Linked DNA regions of Sus scrofa. The protein of the gene in region 2 purifies or fractionates together with the protein of the main gene of each other region. This does not show direct contact. Links are inferred from orthologs where the notes say so. Each region holds a gene or a part of one and is shown on either strand. Other genes may lie near its edges.

Region 1 (4,130 bases), on a different chromosome or scaffold from region 2:
TTTTGGACTGGTGGCTTCTAGAGCAGGGAGACCTGGCTTTAGTCACACACTAGTTGAATGAGAGAGTTTTGTGTGTCCAGCAATTAGGGCATAGTTCTCCAAAAGGTTCACCGAATGACAGTGTCTTTGGAAAATTACAGAACTGTAACTTACTCTTCAGATTTGTAAGCAGCACTTTACCAAAACTTTTCTCTCTGGAGGAAAAAAAAGTCAATATGTTGGCTCATTCAGCCTTTTTTTCCCCTTTTTCCCTTTAATTCTAGTTCATCTGTTATGACTCTGCCATTGTCATTCCTGCTCTGAACTCCACATTCTCCCAGCACCCCTGCTCCTGACATTTGTGGGAGAGGAATCCACAAATTCCTTTGGGGCTCCATCACTGGAGCAAGTTCTCAGGAGCTGGAGAAGGTCTGGGCTGCAAACAGGAAGTTTTTGTACTTCTGGTTACTTTGTGCCTGGGGCAAAAACTGCAGTCCACCTGGAGACTGCAAGAGAGAATGACAGAACAAAACTACTAACCTTCACTATCTCCACCTGAAGCTTTTTTTCTGGGTGGACATTCTGACCTAGTATCACAGATGGTTCTCTTTCCAGAACTGGCCTCTAGCATGCACCTCACTAGAACCACGCAGCAAAGCATCAGGTATAAACCCTGTTTATGACCTTCTTCACTTAAACAATCTTGAGTGGGACATTTAAAAAATTGTTTTGAATTTTTAAGTTTTCAAAGCACCCGAAGGATCACCTTCTCCTTTGGTATGCTGAGGGCCAAAGAGAAGCAAGCAGAGGCTGGTCAACTAGTCTCAAAATCTCTTTTCCTCCCTCGATGCCGAAGACCCCATGTTGCCCTTTTAGCTCACACGAGGGGCAAGAGGCAGCTTTCCTCCTCCTGCATGCCCGCCTTCGTCAACGACACCCATTAGTCTGCAGTCTTCTAGGGCAGTGGGGGACTCTCGACCACGCACCCGGGGCGCTAGTCCAGAAGTTGGGGCCCCTGGGGTCCAAGCCGGCCCCTGCACATGCAGTGGGGCTGCAGGTCAGCCCCAGGGATGATCCCGGCCCAGCGTGCGGGGTAGGTAGCCCAATGGGCAGTCTCGCTCCGGAGGCGGGCTCAGGCCGGAAGCCACCCCGCGGCACAGCGGCCCCACGAGACGGCGCCCGCGCCCCCGCCTTTTCTGGCACCCGCTCCGCGGCCAAGGGCGGCAGGGGCCAGCCCGCTGGGTCCCCGCCGCGCTCTTTGTCCGGGCCGCGCGCGGGCGGACGCGTGCGCCCCCCGGGTGAAGGGAGGCGCGGAAAGAGCGCGCGGGAGCGCGCGAGAAAGGCTCGCGCCCGCCGGCGGCGCGTGCCCCTTCGCCAGGCAAGCAGTGAGCGAGCACGCGCGCCGCCGCCGCGCCCGCCCCTCCCCCGCGCTCGCCTCGGAACTTGCTGACTGCGCGGCCGGGAGGAGCCGAGCCGGGAGGCGGCGGCGGGAGGCCACAGCGCGCGGGGGTCTCCCGCGTCCCCTCCGCCTCGCCGGGAGCTCGCGCCCTCGCCCAGCCGAGCTCCCACCCCCCCTTTTTTCCGAAGGCGCTGGGCGGCGCCACCCTCCGGCCGGAGCCCGGCACTGCACAACCCCCTCCGACTTTCAATGTTCCACACTCCCCGGCCAGAGCCTCCTCGGCTTCTTTTTTTCCCTCCCCCCCTTTCCCCCCCCCAGCTGCCTCCATTTCCTTAAGGAAGGGTTTTTTTCTCTCTCCCTCCCCCACACCGTAGCGGCGCGCGAGCGGGCCGGGCGGGCGGCCGAGGTAAGGCGGCGGGGCCGGGGGGCCGCGTGGGGGCGGCCGGGGCGGCGGCGGCGGTGGGGGAGGGGGCGGGGGCGGGCAGCTTTGTTCGCGCCGGGCGCCCGCGCCGCCGGTGTCCGCGAGCCGCGGCGGGGCCGGCCGGGCTGCTCGCATCACTTGGCGCCCGGCGCGGCGAGCGCTGCCCGCGGCCCCCGCGCGGCCCTCCCCACAAAGGGCCGCGGAGCTGCGTGGCCGCGCCGCCGGCCGCGGCTCGCCTCCGCGGGCGCGGAAATTTGTTGCACTTCTTGGGGCTTTGTTTGTTTGTTTGTTTTTCCTCTGATTTTTTTTTTCGTTATTTTGGACAAAATGTCGGTCCGTGATGTAAAAATTGAGCGAGGAACCTTGATGGCATGGGGAGCTTTGCAGAAGGTGCAGTTTGAATTTTGCTTTTCCCAGGGTGGCAGCTCGGTCTTGGCCGGATGAATCTTCCCTGCTGGCCGTGGAAACGGCTAGAGCAGCTTGTTAGTTGATTTTTTAAATTCCTAAGTGTTGTATTTAAAGGCTTACGTGCACCGAGGAGGAATCGCCACCTTAAATAAGCATATGGGCGATTAACAGGGTATGTTTTCCTCTTGGAAAGGGAATTTGGTAGCTTTGACCAATGTCAGCGTGTAAATATTTAGACGTTATTAGTGACTTTTTAACATTTTTCAGCAAGATCTGTTATTTACAGTGTGTCATATGTTATTAATGCTCGTTGCCTAAGTTCCCTGGCAAATCTGTTTCATGCCTTCTGAGAAAGTAGACAATTGATAGATTGTCCAAGGGATGGAAAAAAATGTGAGTGGGTTTTCTAACTTGAGTTCGTAAATCCCTGAACGCTGGCGTTGTAAGACCCATCACCTCCCCTGTAACCTTGCTTTACGACGAGATAAGTGTGAACACTTTTGAAGTCTTTTCATTAAAATACGATTTTAGGTGAAGATAAAGAGATGAAAATGCTGTTGGTTTATTTAATAGACTTACCTGTCCTTTCTCCCTTTTCTATTGAAAAGTTTTCCAAGAAATAACTTCACCAAGATGTCCAGTGATCGGCAAAGGTCCGATGATGAGAGCCCCAGCACCAGCAGTGGTAGTTCAGATGCGGACCAGCGAGACCCAGCCGCTCCAGAGCCAGAAGAACAAGAAGAAAGAAAACCTTCTGCCACCCAGCAGAAGAAAAACACCAAACTCTCTAGCAAAACCACTGCTAAGTTATCCACTAGTGCTAAAAGGTAATGTGTGAAAAAAAGGATTACGCATGTTGTCTGTGTTGGACACTTTTGTTGGTTTTACATCAGTAGCAATAGTTGAAAAATACTTCCTTCTTGATCAGTTTTATTTGTACTTGAATGAGTTGTCATTCTTTAGATGGTCTATAAGCCACCTCCCTAGAATTAGGCTTTTAAGCAAACTTGTTCTGTACTTTGGTAACTTCAGTGAGAGTGTCCTTGGAGAGAGATTGGATTAACCTCTGACAGATTGTTTAAGGAGTTGGCAAGGAAAATTTGGTCAACTCAAATTAACTGGTACATTGAGGATATTTCCTTTTTATGAGTCATTTTCTTCTTCATTGAAATTGACACTTCTAGAGATCAGCAGTGCCTCTCCATGAAACTTAATGATCAGAAGTAATCATGTGTGCTAGAAAATTTGTAAATTCAAGGCCTTCCTTGGCTATATTTGAAAGCAAACTTAAAAACTGTGCGCTAAGTCCACTTTCAGTTTTACAAACCTGACTTTAAGTCATATGTCCCAGGTATTACTTTTTGTAGTTAAGCTGTGGTTATATTCGTGTGTCCTTGTGAGGGCAAATAAAACTGAAAAGCAGCCATTTACATTTTAGGTGGCACTTGGTGATTGAAAACTTTGCCATAGTGCCTCTCCACTCTAAAACTTGTGGATATGCTTGACATGCTAATACTCAACAGCAGGAGAAACATATTTTGTTGCATATAAGAGAAAGATCATTTGTTTCCTGTTGATTAATATTATCTGTGATGGTGAAAAAAAGATTCTGTTAATGGGACTCCCATCAGTGGTAGTAGTTGTGGAACATCCATGAATTCTAGGAATTATACATCAGATGTTTCTACAGCCTTCAGCAGTATCGACATTTTGTTCATTTTTTTATCACAACCAAAAGAAAAAGAAAATATAAAAGCTGATCAAATGTTGGCATGCTGTAGTAATTTTCTATGAATTTTTTACTGTTGTGTCAGTAATCAAGTATTAACTAGAGTATTTTATGAAATGAAAGAGGTCATTGAAATAATTTAAAATCCTTTTCAGTTTGTTGTAATCTTGTTGAGGAACATTAAACACATCTTA
Region 2 (2,410 bases):
GGGGGCTGGGGTTCTCAGGGGAAGTCTTCAGTCCAAAAGGAAGCAAGGTCAAGGTGGGTGGGGGTTTGAAGAGAACAGAAAAGGTATGAGATGGGTGTCGGGGAGAAGGGGAGGGCGCCTAGGCTGAGGGAGTGAGGCCTTGACTCCTACAGGGAGGTTCAACAGACAGAGAAGAAATTTCACTGAGTTTGGGGAGGGAACCAGAAAAGATGGAGCCAGTGCCTGAGGGTGGGCGGGGTAGAGCTTAGAAGGAGGTGAGGGAGGCTGTGTCCAGCCCCAGGCTGTGCCATGGGCACCACGCTGCCCTGGAGCTCTCCAAGTGTGAAAGGTCCTTCCCTGGAAAAGCTGCTTTGATCAAGGACTCAGTCACTTGCCCAGCCGCTGGTGACCCGTGCAACCTATGTGTCCAGAAGTCAGTTTCCTGAGGCTTTGGGGGCTCCTGGTAGCATCACCAGAGTCAGCAGCCAAGGATGGCAGGTGGCTGCTTGGAGCTTAGTTGCCACCTGCTGTAGAGCAACCTCGTCAGGGCGGTTTCCTCGGCCCGCCCTGGCTCTGGCCTGATGTTGATGGGCCCGGGTGGGGCGGGGGCTGCCTCTCCGCAGGACCTCCACAAAAAGTACTCGTACATCCGCAAGACCAGGCCTGATGGAAACTGCTTCTATCGTGCTTTCGGTTTCTCCCACTTGGAGGCGTTGCTGGATGACAGCAAGGAGCTGCAGCGGTGAGGAGGGCGGGCCCTCGAGCACAAAGAGGCGGGTGGGGCAGGGTCCTAGGAAGGGCCCGAGGGGCTCCCTCCATCCTCCTGGGGACCAGGAGGTGCGGTTCCCGTGCTGCCCGGGCCCCCACCTCTGAGCTGGCCTCTCTGCTGGCCGAGGAGCCCGCGCAGCCTCTCTTTCCCTCCCGGCTGCAGGTTCAAGGCTGTGTCTGCTAAGAGCAAAGAGGACCTGGTGTCCCAGGGCTTCACCGAATTCACAATTGAGGATTTCCACAACACGGTGAGCCTCTCGGCCGGGTGGAGGGCGGGGGGCCTGGCCGAGGCAGCATCGGCCCATCTCCTCCCTCACTTGCTCTCTGTCCCCCTTGGGCGGCAGTTCATGGACCTAATCGAGCAGGTGGAGAAGCAGACCTCAGTGGCCGACCTGCTGGCCTCCTTCAACGACCAGAGCACCTCGGACTACCTGGTGGTCTACCTGCGGCTGCTCACCTCGGGCTACCTGCAGCGCGAGAGCAAGTTCTTCGAGCACTTCATCGAGGGTGGGCGGACCGTCAAGGAGTTCTGCCAGCAGGTGCTGCCCCCTCCCCGCTCCCCAGACTCACTGGGGCCTCAGGGTGGGAGCCTCGGGGCCCGGGGGTGCACCGGGTGGCTGGGGGTGCGGAGGCGCCAAGACCCAGGCCCTGAGCGGCCCCTGTGCTGCAGGAGGTGGAGCCCATGTGCAAGGAGAGCGACCACATCCACATCATCGCGCTGGCCCAGGCGCTCAGCGTCTCCATCCAGGTGGAGTACATGGACCGCGGCGAGGGCGGCACCACCAACCCCCACATCTTCCCCGAGGGCTCCGAGCCCAAGGTCTACCTTCTCTACCGGCCTGGACACTACGACATCCTCTACAAATAGGGCTGGCCCGGCCTGCCGCCGCCCTGCCTGCCCTCCCCTCTGCCAGGCACTAGACATGTACAGAGGTTTTTTTTGTGGTTGTAAATGGTCGTACTTCACCCCCCACGCCCTTCCCTGTCACACGACCTTCCATGTTTTATTAAAGGGGACGCTGGTGGTGAGCCGCGTGTGTGCGTGTCCCTGCTCTGCTGCTGCCCTCCTGGCTGCTCTCTGTCTGGCTGCCCCACCCCCCTCAGGTGGCTTCCTCTCAGCCTTCCACCTGTCCACCCCCAAGCCTCCCCGCCAGGAGTAGTTTTGAGGGGGCTAGGCCTCTTGGGGACCCCTCCTGGTTATTGGGCCTCTGCTTCCTTCCCTTCAGGCCTCTGCCCCTGCCCTCCTTAGCCAGCCAGGCCTTCCAGGGGAATTTGGAAGTTCCTTGGAGACTGGCCCAGAGCCCCAGGACCACCAAGGCTTCCAGCTCTGCCCTCATAGGCCACGCCTCCGCCCTGCTGCCCTGGCCTCCCCGGCCACCTGCTCTCCATCAGGGGTCTGCATGGTGGAGAGGGCTGGCCTGAGGGTGCGGCCTGGCTCAGGGTAGGCGGAGGAGCTGGGCCACCCTAGTGCACCCCAGGTGCTGCCCTCCGGGCGGGGGAGGGCTGTCCTCAAGTCTGTCCTTCCCGGAGTCTAGCGGGGCTGGCCAGGCCCCCGTTCTTCCCCCACCCCACCACCCCCTGCCTGTGCCTGCTTTGCATCCCCTCTGCTTGGGCCGCGGTGTCTGCGTTGCCTTCCTCTCTTCACTTCCCCTGGCACATGTGG

What was found.
Region 1: the proteins of OTUB1 (region 2) and UBE2E3 purify together in Homo sapiens (affinity purification with mass spectrometry; 3 studies listed by BioGRID and IntAct, counting the BioPlex papers as one, with this or other methods). This does not show direct contact. The link is inferred for Sus scrofa from reciprocal best matches to the Homo sapiens genes OTUB1 and UBE2E3.

What each region holds. Positions count from the first base shown.
Region 1 is NC_010457.5:86,469,712-86,473,841, forward strand, and holds the start of UBE2E3 (ubiquitin-conjugating enzyme E2 E3), read left to right. Parts: upstream 1-1,200; 5' UTR 1,201-1,784; intron 1,785-1,911; exon of another isoform or gene 1,912-2,379; intron 2,380-2,815; 5' UTR 2,816-2,840; coding exon 2,841-3,034; intron 3,035-4,130. UniProt on the Homo sapiens protein: Accepts ubiquitin from the E1 complex and catalyzes its covalent attachment to other proteins. In vitro catalyzes 'Lys-11'- and 'Lys-48'-, as well as 'Lys-63'-linked polyubiquitination.
Region 2 is NC_010444.4:8,087,891-8,090,300, reverse strand, and holds the end of OTUB1 (ubiquitin thioesterase OTUB1), read left to right. Parts: intron 1-602; coding exon 603-721; intron 722-910; coding exon 911-995; intron 996-1,091; coding exon 1,092-1,286; intron 1,287-1,417; coding exon 1,418-1,615; 3' UTR 1,616-1,773; downstream 1,774-2,410. UniProt on the Homo sapiens protein: Hydrolase that can specifically remove 'Lys-48'-linked conjugated ubiquitin from proteins and plays an important regulatory role at the level of protein turnover by preventing degradation.